Struthio camelus: one gene and its partner. The protein of the gene in region 1 interacts with the protein of each later gene in a biochemical or structural test. Links are inferred from orthologs where the notes say so. Each region holds a gene or a part of one and is shown on either strand. Other genes may lie near its edges.

What was found.
Region 2: the proteins of RNF40 (region 1) and WAC form a complex in vitro, tested with the Homo sapiens proteins (2 studies listed by BioGRID). The link is inferred for Struthio camelus from reciprocal best matches to the Homo sapiens genes RNF40 and WAC.

Annotation. Positions count from the first base shown.
Region 1 is NC_090973.1:1,072,135-1,079,545, forward strand, and holds the start of RNF40 (E3 ubiquitin-protein ligase BRE1B), read left to right. Parts: upstream 1-4,270; 5' UTR 4,271-4,312; coding exon 4,313-4,444; intron 4,445-5,445; coding exon 5,446-5,613; intron 5,614-7,411.
Region 2 is NC_090943.1:18,551,135-18,558,731, forward strand, and holds the start of WAC (WW domain-containing adapter protein with coiled-coil), read right to left. Parts: upstream 3,175-7,597; 5' UTR 2,618-3,174; coding exon 2,577-2,617; intron 2,408-2,576; coding exon 2,371-2,407; intron 939-2,370; coding exon 743-938; intron 1-742.

The DNA of each region.
Region 1 (7,411 bases):
CCCCAGGGACCCTCTTTACACCTCCCCATTACCCTCCCATTACTCCTCAATAACCCCCCCCCCCATTACCCCCGGGCATCCCTGTTACCCTCCCCATTACCCCGGGGACCCTCATTACACCCCCCCCATTACCCTTGGGTAGTGCTGTCCCCCCCCCCATTGTCCCCTCTGTTACCCCTGGGCCCCCCCATGTTAATCTCAGTTCCCCCCCCCACCCCAGGGACCCTCATTACTTCTCTATTACCCCCTGTTACCCCTGGGTATCCCCATTACCCCCTCATTATCCTGGGGACCCTCATTACCCCCCCCATTACCCTGGGGACCGCTGTTCCCCCCCCCCCATTACCTCCTGTTTCTTCCTCGTTACCCTGGGGATCCTCATTACCCCCCGTTACCCCCCATTTCCCCCCCCATTACCCCTGGGGACCCCCATTATACCCCCCATTTCCCCCCCCCATTACCCCTGGGGACCCCCATTATACCCCCCATTTCCCCCCCCATTACCCCTGGGGACCCCCATTATACCCCCCATTTCCCCCCCCATTACCCCTGGGGACCCCCATTATACCCCCCATTTCCCCCCCCATTACCCCTGGGGACCCCCATTATACCCCCCATTTCCCCCCCCATTACCCCTGGGGACCCCCATTATACCCCCCATTTCCCCCCCCATTACCCCTGGGGACCCCCGTTACCCCCCATTACTTCCGCATTACCCCTGGGGACCCCCGTTACCCCCCATTACCCCGGGGGAGTCCTGTTCCCCTCCATTACTCCCCTGTTACCCCTGGGGACCCCTGTTACCCCCATTACCCCTGGGCATCCCTGTTCACCCCATTCCCCCTCGTTACCCCTGGGGACACCCGTTACCGTCTGTTACCCTTGAACACCCCCCCTTACCCTCCTTTACCCCCTGTTACCCCAGGGACCCCCCATTACCCCCCGGTTACCCCTCTGTTACCCCATCCCGTTACCCCATCCCATTACTCCGTTACCCCTGGGCATCCCCGTTACCCCGGGGACCCCCATTACTGCCGTTACCCCCCATTACCCCCCTTCCCCCACTTACCCCTGGGGACCCCCATTACCCCCCCCACTACTCCGTGTTACCCCTGGGACCCCTGTTACCCCTGAGCATCCCCATTACCCCCCCCCATTACCCCTGGAGACCTCTGTTATCCCTCCCTTATTGCCCCCCCATCACCCTCTATCATCCCCCTGGTACCCTCCCTGTTACCCCTTGTTCTCCCCTGGTTCCCCCCCCCACTTTAGCTTTTGGGCCCCTGTTACCCTCCTGTTACCTCTCGGTACCCCCGTTACCCTCCCATTAACCCCTCAGGACCCGTGTTACTCTCTTGTCCCCCCCGTTATCCTCCTTGTTACCCCTTGTTACCACCTTGTTACCCCCGTTATTCCCGTGTTACCCCGTTGTTACCCCGTTACCCTTCCTTACCCTGCAGCAACCTCTGTATCACCCCCGTTACCCTCGTGCACCCCATTACCCCCATCATTTCCTCGTTTCCCCTTTTCTGCCCGCTTCTCCGCTGTTACCTCCCTTTTACCCCCTCGTTACCCTTCATTAGTCCCTCGTTACCCCTGTTTCCCCCTTTTCTGCCCCTTGCTCCCCTGTTATCCCCCTGTTGTTACCCCGTTATTCGTCGTGCCCCTTGTCCCCCCCGTAACCCCTTTGTTACTCTGTGTTAGTATTTCTTTCTCCTTTTTGTGCCCGTTACTGCCTTATTACTCTTTTCTTCGTTGTGCTGTTTCCCCATCCCTCCTTTACAACCCCTTCGTTACCCCTCGTTACTCTGTTACTCCCCCATTCCCCCATTTTCTGCTCGTTACTCCCCCGTTACTCTCTTCCCTTATTACTGTTTTTCTGACCCTGTCGTTACTCCTTGTTACTCTGTGTTACTTCCCCGTTTCCCCCTTTTTGCCTGTTGTCCCCTCCTACCCTCCTTGTTCGCTTGTTACCCTGCTTCTACCCTGTTCGTCTTCTGTAATCTTTTTGTTACTCCTCGTTACTCCGTGTTACTCCCCCGTTTGCCCACTTTCTGCCCGTCGGTCCGGCGTCGCCGTTCTTTCATCCTTCGTTTGCCCCTTTCCCTGGTTGTTACCTTGTTTTCGTCATTATTGTCTTATAACCTCCTTGTTACTCTGTGTTACTCTGTGTTACTGCCCCATTAGCCCCCTTTTGTCCCCCTGCAATCCCTGTTACTTCTCTATGACTGTCTTGTTACTTCATGTTACTCTTGTCCCCCCCCCCCCACCTTTTTTTCTTCCCTCGTCGCCACCTGTTTTCCTATTACTCTTTTGTGGCTGCACTGTTACTCTTTGTTACCCTGTGTTACTCCCCCCCCCCCCAATTTTTTGTTTTACTCCCCTGTTAGCTCTCTTTTCCCTTTCCTACCCACCATTACTCTAAGTCACATGTTACTCCATGTTACTCCACGTTACCTCCCCATTCCCCTTTCGTTATCCCCCGTATTCCAGTTGCTCTCGTATAACCCCCTTGTTACTGCTGGTTACTCTGCGTTACTCCACCATTACCCCCCTTTCCTCCCCCCCGTAGCGCCTGCTGCTTGTTACCCTATGTTACTTCCCGTCCCCCCTTTTCCGCTCGTTACTCCCTTCTCCCCTTTGTTACCCTGCTCTTTGTTGTTCTTTTACCGCCCCTTGTTACTCTGTGTTACTCCCACGGTCCCCCTCCTCTGCCTTTCTCCCCTGCTGGCTCCCTTTTTCCGCCTTGTAACCGCTGTTACTCTTTCTCGAGTAGCGTGACTGCGTTGTTACTCTGCATTACTCTCCCGTTCCCCTTTTCTCACCTTGTTACTGCTCCTTTTTATTTTATTATTCTGTATTTTTATGTTACTCTTGCTTTGCTGCTTTATTAGTTCACGTTACTCTGTTACTGCGTCATTAGCTCCTCCTGCTTTGTAACCAGCGTTACTCTCTTAATAACACCTTGTTACCCCCTATTACTTCCCCATTCCCCCCCTTTCCCCTCGTTACTCCCCCGCTGCCCCCTTCCCCCCGGCCTTTCCCAGTCCCATTACAGCCCGTTTCGCTGTTACCCTTTTATAACACCCCTAATTATTCCCCGTTACTCCTTGTTACTCCCTGTTACGCCATCATTTTCGTGTTTCCCCCTCATCTCGCATTACTCCTTGTTCCCCTGTTACTTCCTAATGCTCAGTGTTGCTTCCTCTTCCCCCATTCTGCCCTGATACCCACTGTTACTTGACGTTACTCCCTGTTACTCCCTCATTTTCCTGTCACCCCTCATCCCTGCATTACTCCCTGTTACCCCCCATTGCTCAGCGTTGCTCCCTGTTCCCCCCATTTCTCCCTGACAGCTGCTGTTACTCGATGTCACTCCTTGTTACTTCCTGTTACTATCTCATTTTCCTATTCAGCTCTCACCCCGCGTTACTCCCCATTTCCCCCTCATTACCCCCCCAATGCCCAGCGTTACTCCCCCTTTCCCCATCCCGCCCGGATACCCGTTGCTACTCAATGTTACTCCTTGTTACTCCCTGTTACTCCCTCATTTTCCTATCACCGCTCACCCCGCGTTACTCCGTTACCCCCCAATGCCCGGCTTTGCTCCGTCTTCCCCGTCCTGCCCTGATACCTGCTGTTACTTGACGTTGCTCCTTGTTACTTCCTGTTACTATCTCATTTTCCTATTTAGCTCTCACGCCTTGTTACTCCCCGTTTCCCCCTTGTTACCCCCCTAATGCCAGTGTTGTTCCCTCTCCCACCCGTCCCGCTGTCATACCTGCTGTTACTTGGCGTTACTCCTCGTTACTCCCTGTTACTCTCTCATGTTCCTGTTCACCCCTCACCCTGCATTACTCCCCGTTGCCACCCAATGCTCAGCATTGCTCCCTCTTCCCCCCACCCCGCCCTGATACCTGCTGTTACTTGGTGTTACTCCTTGTTACTTGCTGTTACTATCTCATTTTCCTATTCAGCTCTCACCCCGCGTTACTCCCCATTTCCCCCTCGTTACCCCCCAATGCCCAGCGTTACTCCCTCTTTCCCCGCCCCGCCCTGATACCCGCTGTTACTTGATGTTGCTCTTTGTTACTCCCTGTTACCCCCTCATTTTCCTGTTCACCCCTCGCCCCTTGTTACTCCCCGTTACTCCCCAATGCTCAGCGTTGCTCCCTCCCCCCCACCCCCTGGATACTCACTGTTACTCTACGTTACTCCTTGTTACTCCCTGTTACTCACCGCGACTCCCGGTCGCGCTCTGCTCCTCAGCGTCACCGGCCAGCGCTCCGGGCGGCCCCGTCCGGCCGGCGCCATGTCGGGGGCGGGGGGCAAGCGGGCGGCGGGCGAGGGGGGCGCCGGCCCCCCCGAGAAGAAGGCGCCGCGCGACGAGCAGCCCCCGACCACCCTCATCGAGCCCCTGCGCCTCGGCGGCATCTCCTCCACGGTGGGTACCCGCTGCGCGCCCCCGGACGCCTGGGTCCCCTCTCTCCCCCGGACACCTGGGTCCCCCCTCTTCCCCCCCCCTCCCCCCCGGGCGCCTGGGTCCCCCCCTCCCCCCCGGGCGCCTGGGTCCCCCCCCCGGACGCCTGGGTCCCCTCTCCCCCCCCCCCCCGGGCGCCTGGGTCCGTCCCCCCCACCCCGGACGCCTGGGTCCCCTCTTCCCCCCCCCCCCCCCACCCGGACGCCTGGGTCCATCCTGCCCCCGGACGCCTGGGTCCCCCCCCCCCCCCCCCCGGGCGCCTGGGTCCCCTCTTCCCCCCCCCCCCCCCCCCCCAACCCGGACGCCTGGGTCCTTCTCACACCCGGACGCCTGGGTCCCCTCTCCCCCCCTGCACACCCGGTCGCCTGGGTCCATCCTGCCCCCGGACGCCTGGGTCCCTTCTCCTCTCCCCCCTCCCCCCTGCCAGACACCTGGGTCCCCTGGGGTGGCCAGACCTTCCCAGGCCCGGACACCTGGGCCCCCCAGACACCTGGGTCCCCTGGGGTGGCCTGAACCTGGTGGGTGCCCGGACGCCTGGGCCCCGCGGATTGGCCGGGATGCCAGGACACCTGGGTCCCCCAGAGGCCTGGGTCCTCTGAGGTCACCTGAGCATGATGGGTGCTGGGACACCTGGGCCCCCCGGACACCTGGGCCCCCCAGAGTGGCCTGAGCTTGGCCGGGATGCCAGGACACCTGGGCCCCCCGGACACCTGGGCCCCCCAGAGTGGCCTGAGCCTGGTATGGATGTTGGGACGCCTGGGTGCCCCGGACACCTGGGCCCCCCAGAGCGGCCTGAGCTTGGCCGGGATGCCAGGACGCCTGGGTCCCCCGGACACCTGGGCCCCCCAGAGCGGCCTGAGCCTGGCAGAGGCGGAAGGTGGGGTGGGGGGGGGGACCCCGGGTTGCCGGGGGTGGGGGGGCGCCGCGGGAGGCTGACGGCGCGCCCGGACGCCTGGGCCCCGCAGGAGGAGATGGACCTGAAGGTGCTGCAGTTCAAGAACAAGAAGCTGGCGGAGCGGCTGGAGCAGCGGCAGGCGTGCGAGGACGAGCTGCGCGAGCGCATCGAGAAGCTCGAGAAGCGCCAGGCCACCGACGACGCCACCCTCCTCATCGTCAACCGCTACTGGGGCCAGGTGGCGTGTCCCCCCCCCCCCCCCAAAACCCCATCCCTGACCCCAAATTGCATCCTGGCACCCCAAAATCCCGTCCCCGAACCCCAAACCCCATCCTGACACCCCAAAATCCTGTCTTCCAGCCCCAAAATCCCATCCCGGGGCCCCAAAGTCCTGTCCCCGAACCCCAAACCCCATCCCGGCACCCCAAAATCCTGTCTTCCACCCCCCAAAATCCTGTCCTGACCCCCCAAAATCCCGTCCCCGAACCCCAAACCCCATCCTGACACCCCAAAATCCTGTCTTCCAGCCCCAAAATCCCATCCTGACGCCCCAAAGTCCTGTCCCCGAACCCCAAACCCCATCCCGGCACCCCAAAATCCTGTCTTCCACCCCCCAAAATCCTGTCCTGACCCCCCAAAATCACGTCCCCGAACCCCAAACCCCATCCTGACACCCCAAAATCCTGTCTTCCAGCCCCAAAATCCCATCCCGGGGCCCCAAAGTCCCGTCCCCGAACCCCAAACCCCGTCCCGGCACCCCAAAATCCTGTCTTCCACCCCCCAAAATCCTGTCCTGACCCCCCAAAATCCTGTTTTTGAACCCCCAAATCCCACCCTGACACCCCAAAATCCTGTCTTCCAGCCCCAAAATCCCATCCCGGGGCCCCAAAGTCCCATCCCCGAACCCCAAATCCCATCCCGGCACCCCAAAATCCTGTCTTCCACCCCCCAAAATCCTGTCCTGACCCCCCAAAATCCCGTCCCCAAACCCCAAACCCCATCCTGACACCCCAAAATCCTGTCTTCCAGCCCCAAAATCCCATCCTGGGGCCCCAAAGTCCTGTCCCCGAACCCCAAACCCCGTCCCGGCACCCCAAAATCCTGTCTTCCACCCCCCAAAATCCTGTCCTGACCCCCCAAAATCCTGTTTTTGAACCCCCAAATCCCACCCTGACACCCCAAAATCCTGTCTTCCAGCCCCAAAATCCCATCCCGGGGCCCCAAAGTCCCGTCCCCGAACCCCAAATCCCATCCCGGCACCCCAAAATCCTGTCTTCCACCCCCCAAAATCCCGTCCCCAAACCCCAAACCCCATCCTGACACCCCAAAATCCTGTCTTCCAGCCCCAAAATCCCATCCTGGGGCCCCAAAGTCCTGTCCCCGAACCCCAAACCCCATCCTGGCACCCCAAAATCCTGTCTTCCACCCCCCAAAGTCCTGTCCTGACCCCCCCAAATCCTGTTTTTGAACCCCCAAATCTCATCCTGGCACCCCAAAATCCTGTCTTCCAGCCCCAAAATCCCATCCCGGTGCCCCAAAGTCCCGTCCCCGAACCCCAAACCCCGTCCCCGAACCCCAAACCCCGTCCCGGCACCCCAAACCCCGTCCCGGCACCCCAAAATCCTGTCCTGACCCCCCAAAATCCTGTCCTGACCTCCTAAAATCCTGTTTTTGAACCCCCAAACCCCATCCTAACACCCCAAAATCCTCTCTTCCAGCCCCAAAATCCCATCCCGGGGCCCCAAAGTCCTGTCCCCGAACCCCAAACCCCGTCCCGGCACCCCAAAATCCTGTCTTCCACCCCCCAAAATCCTGTCCTGACCCCCCAAAATCCTGTTTTTGAACCCCCAAATCCCACCCTGACACCCCAAAATCCTGTCTTCCAGCCCCAAAATCCCATCCCGGGGCCCCAAAGTCCCGTCCCCGAACCCCAAATCCCATCCCGGCACCCCAAAATCCTGTCTTCCACCCCCCAAAATCCTGTCCTGACCCCCCAAAATCCCGTCCCCGAACCCCAAACCCCATCCTGACACCCC
Region 2 (7,597 bases), on another chromosome or scaffold:
AGGTTTCAAAATTCAGTCAGTATTTAGGATTTTTTTAAACAGGAACCGTTACCATTTTTAATTAAAAAGAAAACCCTACCCTTTCCTGTTCTAACATCAGTTAAGAAATCACTGGGCATATTAATACTATCTATAATATCCTGTAAAAATACAACAAGCTAGCTGACTTAACTGTGAACATTTCCCTTCCAAGCTCCTGCCGAGAAAGACTCCAGTAAGCGCTAACTTGGATTGTTATTTTCTGATTGTTAAGTTCTACACAGCAGCTAGAAAAAGCAGCAGCTTGTTTCCATTTTTGTGGAGTTTAGTCTATAAAGTGCTCAACTACACAGTATATCATTACAATACACAGAATTATTAAAAATAATAGCACTAGAATATAGTTTTTAAAATAGCAAACATTTGTCAGTGGTAAACCTAGAATACTATTTTATATTACTGAATATTGCAGCAGCATATCTAAATTAAACCTAACTCAGACATACCAGTTAAAAAAAAAAAAAAAAAAAAGATAAGTTTATTTAATCTTTGTGGCCTTAACAAAAACTACCACACCTGTAAAAATAAGAAAATTAAATGATTATTTCCAAAGGAACTGCCATTTTGGTTTCAGTGTAGTCTTCCAAGCATCAGGCACACCACTGAGTATACAGCTCTCCTCATGTCAGTGATAACTGCTAATTTGTAATATTTCTGAGAAATTAGCAATCGCTTAAATAAAGGTTAATTAAAGATAACTCACCACCATCCCTCTCTCTAACTCTGTGAGTATGCACACTTTTTGCTTTAGCGTGCCCTGTGTTGTCACCGTATTTGTTTTCAGGGCTATCAGATCGCCGCAACATTTTATTTGGTGGTGAAGGATCTGTGGTGTCTCGCATCTTGTCATGACGGTGATCACCACCACTGGGGTGACCCTTGGATGAGTATTTAAGAGCCTGTAACACACAACAAGAGAATAGGCATTTATATTCGACTTAAAGTTACAGAAGAGATCTTAAAGTGATATTTTTAAATTTTAAATTCTCTTTCCAGAATACATTTTAAAGTTAATTAATTTTCATTTCCCATTTCAATAATCATCATTAGCCTTTCTGGTTTTAATTACCTACATGAAAGCAACAAGTTCTGTCATTAGAATTCAAACCATTTTCTCCCACTATGATATCCAGTATCACATTTGCTGTTAAGATAAATCTAACTTATTTATCTTTTCACTGGCAGACTACATACTTTCAGCAGCAAATGGGCCACAGCATTTCTGACATTTGTGGAAGAAGCAGAAATCTCTAGTTAGCATTAAAACGATGAGCAAAAAGTTATATTGAATCAGTGTAAACTTTGAATATACGTCCTCCATCTTGCAACTGAGGCAACTTAACTTCACCTCTACCTGGAACTTCTGCAAGCTTTACTTCAGTACAAGCATCTCCGTAACAGAAGTAACAACAAACCTAGAATTCTGGGGACCCACAACATGGAATATGAAAGTTAATTTGGAAATATTTACCAAAAATGACACATTCTGCACGTCTTTGACCTGCGTGATTTTGCAGCGTGAACTTCTGAGTGGCAACTGTTTACATTTACGTGAACTGTCACTGACAGCTGCCTTCGACTGTCAGGTTACATTTCAGTGATACAAATACACAGAAGTGTAATAAAACAACAGCTCAGTTATTTGCCCTAAGGAGAGCAATACCACAATATGCAAGCATTCCCCAGATTCACACCCTCAGAACTAAATTTCTCAGTAGGCAAAGCAGAGGAACGTAGCATCCCTTACAGAAATTAAGGCTCGTCTCAGCAGTTCAAGGATTTGATAGTGGTTTCTGACCATAGCTAGCAGCTGGCAACTGCAGAAATTAGGCCTTACTGGCAACCCCCGTTATTCAGCGTCTAAAATCATGCCCTGCTCAGGTTACAATCCACAGCAGCAGTTTTGGGGAGAAGAGAGGACTTGGGGAGGGGGGCGGGGGAAGAACAAGATGCCTTTTGTTTTTAAAAGGAAAACACTCACCTCCCCCTGGATCTCCACTTACTGCAAGTGACCCCGACTCGCTCTCCCGCCCCTCCTAGCCAGCCCTCCCCGACTCCTAGGCCCAGGCCGTACACGGGCTGTACTAGGCCTCTCCTCCTCGCCCAGGCCCCACAGGCCCCAGACGGGAGCCGCAGCCCCGTCCTCTGCGCACGCAGCCGCCGCCGCCTCCCCCGGCTCCCCCGGGCCCGAAGAGGCGCTGAGGGACGGGGCCGAGGAGGCTGTTGCACCGCGGCCTGCGGCGGCGGCCGAAGCCTACGCTGGAGTAGCTGCCCCCTCCCTTCCCCTCCCCTGCTCCTCCTCCTGGGCCTAGCGGCCGGCGCTTTAGGTACCTGGTAGGGCTGCGAGTCCCCCCTGCGGTCGTGACAGCTAAAGAGAAAGCGAGAGAAAGAGAGAGAGAGAGAGAGAGAGACAGAGAGAGAGACGTTAGCGAACAACCGTTACCGGCCGCCAGGGAAGGGGGCCCAAACATGGCGGAGGGGAGGGGGAGACCCCGCGGGGCAAGGGGCCGGGGGAGGAGGAGGAGGAAGGGATTTACCCATCACTGAGTCTCTGCTGTTTCCTCGCATACATTACCATCAATGCCCGGCCTGTGTGTGTGAGTGTGAGGGGACCAGGAGGGGACGGCCGCGGCCGGGCCACAGGCGCCGAGGGGGGAGGAGGGGGAGGCAGCGCTCCGCCTCGCCGCCGACCGGGGGCAGGGAGGGGGGAAGGGAGGGAGGGGGCGGCTCAGGCGGCTCGGCTGGGAGCAGCGCTCACGGGCCCATCTCCTCCGCACACGGCGAAAGGGGAGACGCCAGCAACTCGGCCCCGCGCGCGCTGAGACACTCCGGGAGCACGGACTCCGCCGCCGCCGCCGTTGCTGCCGCCGCTGCCGCCGCCTCCTCCCCCCGCTGCGCCCGCCGCCGCCGCCGCCGCCGCTCCTCCAACTACATCCGGGAAACTCGGGCGACGCCGCGCTCGGTTAACGTCGGCTCTTTTCGGCTCTTTCCGACGCGCGCCGTCCCCTCTGTCCCCTTTGCTCTCGGGCGACTCTGCCTTCGGGAAACATCGGCTGCCTTCGCCGAGCCCAACGCCCTTCAGTCTCCCCCTTCGGCAAACATCGGCTCCTTCCGTAACTCTCTCCCCTCCCCCTTGCCGCCGGCCGGCCCGCCTCGTCCTTCTCTCGCCAACGCTACCTGTCTTCGGAAAACATCGGTTATTTCCGTAGAGAGGTTTTCACGCTCCCGTCAGGGTGACGCCGCTTTCGGAAATGCTCGGGTATTTCCGTGACCCGCGCGGCCGCCGCCGCCCTGCCCCCGCTCGCAGCGGCCGGCCGAGCAGCCGTTGGCGGGGCGCGGCCGGCTGGTTGGCGGCGGGGAGCGGAGCCCGCGCCGTCCGGCGGGCCGTGCCCCTGGGAGAGGCGGGCGGGCCGGGCTGCGAGGGAGCCGGGCCCCCGCAGGGCAGCCGGCCTCCTCGGTGGCAACCGACGGGGCGGGAACGCCAGGCAGGTGGGGGCAATAGGGGGAATTGCGAGAGAACCGGCGCGGGGGAGGGGGCAACGCCCGGCTACGAGATAGGAAAGGGAAGGTCTCCTCTTACCTCCCCCCTCCTCCCCTTCCGCCCAGGGATTTGATGTATAGTCAGGAGCCATTTTGTGTACGTTTCGCCTTCTGCGAGGAAGCGCTCGGCGGTAAAGAGGATGTTAAAATGTCCCTGGGGAGGCGATGGCGGCGCGGGTCGGGGCGCCTCCCGCGCGGCCCGGCTGCCGTGGCGGAGCCGGTTTTGTGCGACACGCGGGGACGGGGCCTCGCTCCCGGCCCCCGGGGGAGCGCGGCGAGGCCGTCGCCGCCGCGGGGGGGGTGCCTGGCCGCCTCCCGGCAGCGAGCGGAGCCTCTGCGTTTCGGCAGAGGTATAAAATCACCATCCGGGCGCCCCAGAGGCCCCAGCGGCGCCAGAGGGGTTTGCTCCGGGCAGCCCCTAGGTAGTTGGGGCGAAGCGGATGCCTCGTGCTGGGCTTGAGGAGACGGTGCCCTCTCACAGAGGCTTCTGGAGGGGGCCGGTGGTCACTGCTGAGCCCCCTCTCCCGGGAAAGGGTCACCCGGCAATTTCTGACCAAACACCCAACGTTTGAGGTACAAAGCATCATATATTCAGAACGGTATTAAGACCTTATTTAAATACAGTAAATGTAGCTTGTTATCCACAGTAGAGCGTTGCCATCACGGAGTGAAGGATCAATTTGCAGTGAAGGTAAATTTGTGGACCCTCAATTTTGCCCTGCTCCCCTTCTTGGGAAGGGAAGAAACGTGGGACACCTCAGAACTGGTATATTAAGCTTAAAACAGAGCGTTTTTCCTTATGGCTACGTCTATGCTAGTGTAGGATTGATGACAACTCTGCTACACAATTTTTGTTTCTGTTTTTTTTAATTACAGTGCAGAAGGCTGTTGCTGAGAGGAGACTTCAGGGACCAGTGGTAGAGCTCAGGGAGAGCTGTGGAGGATGACTCAGCAGGGAGCTGCTCTGCAGGGTTACAATAATGAGCTAGTGAAATGCATTGAAGACTTATGTATGCAAAAAGAAGAGCTGAACAAACAAATCCAGCAAGCGGAAGAAGAAAAAAATAAACTCCAGCATGAAATCCAAGTCCTGAGTGAGAAACTGGAGTGCGTATGTGAAAACCTAGCCCAAAAGGTAGCCTCACGGAACGAGCTTGACAAAATTCTTGCTGAAACTGAAGCTGCTTACATGAAGATTTTGGATAGTTCTAGAACTTTACTTAATGTCCTGAAGAAGGAAGTGGGAAGCTTAAAGAGTTCGCCAGAACTGAAAAGCCATGTAACCTGAAACTGTCAAATGTTTGGACTCCATAGTTCTGAAATTCCACTAGGTGAGAAATGTGGTTAGCCACAGAAGCCTCCGACAACAGTATAAGCGGAAAGGGGCTCTCTTCCAACTTTTCTATATGTTTTTCTTGTTTTTTTTAATATATCAGAAATTCTGTAGAGCCTAGATGAAATAAAGTTTTTGTTTTGCTTTAAAAAAAACCCTATGTAGTTACTTAAATCACTACAAACTATACTGCAAATAGGTAGCTGAGGCAGGTGTGAGGCTGTCAGGCTGTCAGTTTTGGTGTGAGCTGTTCTCACAGCTCTTCTGAAGATGGCAGGAAAACACTTTTACTAATCAGACTTTGGTTACCATTGAATTTCTGTTTGGTTGAATAATACTTTAAACCTGGAGAGAATGCTTTTTTTTTTTTTTTTTTTTCCTTCTTCCCCTTAGTTCTTTTACCCAAAGCCATGCATATTGCTCCGTTGTGGAATCTTACCCCATCCTTTTGTCCTTCTTTTCCTTACTTACCTGTTTAGAAAGAAACTCACTGTAAAACTAGTGGATCTGTGTAGATCAGATACTACTTGTTTTCCCTGCACAAGTATTGCTATTTATTTTGAACTGTTAGGAGCCAAATAGAAACAAACTATTTATCTCCTTCCTTTAGGAGCGTGTTCTCCATTTGGCACATGCACAGAGGCAAGCCCCTCTTTACAATCAACTCCTATTAGCTGGAATAATGGAGCAGTAAGGTGAGAAAGTAACACAGGACATCTTAGGATATAAGACTGTATATAGATTAATTCATCTTCTGAAAGTATATTCAGAACCCTCTTTAGAAGAGAATTGTGTCATGGTGAAAAACTGGTTTTGGCATAAGTGCATGCTTTCTACTTCCAGGGTACAGTGCTGCAGGCATCTATACTGTGTAAGCTGGGACCAATTAACCCACTTACAGATGATCAAAAGATGACTATGAATATTTCAATAGCTCTAGATGATCTTACAAATAGTAGAATTTAATCAAAATATTGTGTTAAATATAAAGCCGAAGAAGATAATTAGAGCTAAAAGCCAATACTAGAACTGCTAGAAACCTTATTTCTAGTGCACTTTAGCACTGTCCTGATATACTAAAAGTTTATAGTAAGGTTGTCAAGAATAGTAACACGAAATGGAGAGAAATAAATACAAACTAAAGTAGAAAATGAGATTAGAACGGGTTCTGCAGCTGTCAGGTGTTCTTACAGGTGTGGTTAAAATAAAATCTCATTTAGAGATTGGGGAGGAGGTAACAGCATGGCAGAAATCCCAATTTAATCTTGTTTTCTATTTCTAGCACTTAACCTCTCTGTGTGTTGGTGTGTATATGTGCATATATTTTGCCCTATTCGTTCAGGTACTACAGCAGTAACTTTGTTTTTAAGCAAAACTAACTTAAAAATTTGACTACTAGTCCTAAATCTTTATTCCATAGCTAGTCACTAAATTTAAAGAAGGGCAAATCTAATCTTAACAAACTTGTGCATCTCTCAAGTGCAAGTGCAAAGGGTATGTGTATATGAATAGTTTCTGACAGTAATAGCTCTTCGCCAATTATGTGAAGCAAATGTTATGTTCTTCTGATTGCCGTGCTATAACTTTTGAATAAACTTAACATGAGGGATGAGCGAGACTGGGCTAATCAACAACTTACCTGTATAACATTTCCCCTGCCTTACCTTCAGTAATGCTGAAGTGATAAAATTAGGTGAAGCCAGGGTTACTGCTATTGTTGCAACACTGCTGTATTCACGATATTGAGATAAAAACAAATTTTACTTCAGTGTCTTCAATGACTCGCATTGAAGTAAAAACAAAAGCAAAAATGTTGTTCTTTCATAGCAAAAAAGGTGATTTGACTGGATGTATTGAGGTATTTTCTCCTTACTCAGTCTGATTATAGTCATAACTACCATCAAAATAGGAAGTCTTAGGAAAACATACTATCTAAATAGCAAGGACTTTTTGTTTTACAGTTGAATGTGTAAGCTGTTTCATCTTATCTGAAAGGGAGCTTAAAATTGTCTTACTGAAAAAGAACTTGTATCATGGAAACTTCGGTTATAGGGAGTTCACAATACAGTTTTATTCTTGTATTGTCCATCTCTATTAGACAATAGTTACAGGTTTGTTTTAGAATAATCATATAGTATGAATAGGGCATCCTCTTGCTCTGTTTAGGTAGTTAAAGTGGTGTTAAGCCTTTTAAGTTGAAGTCTACTTTACAACCTTTATTGCCTCTAAATCAAGCTATTACAATGTCGAAACTAAATGACTTCAGATATTTCATCTTTTCTAAGTTACAAAAACAAGGGAAAATGACTGTCTAGTCATCTAAGCACACTGGGCTTCCCAGGTTTCAAATAGAAAGCTGGTGTCAAAATTCCATGCAGTAATCACAGTCTGTAAAATTTCTATTTAAACTCAGATTCACAAACGGAGAGCAATACACAGTATATCTCTACGGCTTGCTATTTGTAGAATAACTCCTGAGTGTGGCACTCATGAGGTAAGTGCGTCTACCGAGTTGTTACTCAAAAATAGTTCTTGCCATAATATTCTGCATTGGCACAAATGAATTTATTGTATCATTATTCAAGTGGTAAGCCTTTTTTAATGCATAGCTTTCTGTAATTTTTTTCAAGTAATATACCTCCTCACATAAATAGCTTTTCTTGAACAGCTTCAGTTTGTTTAGAA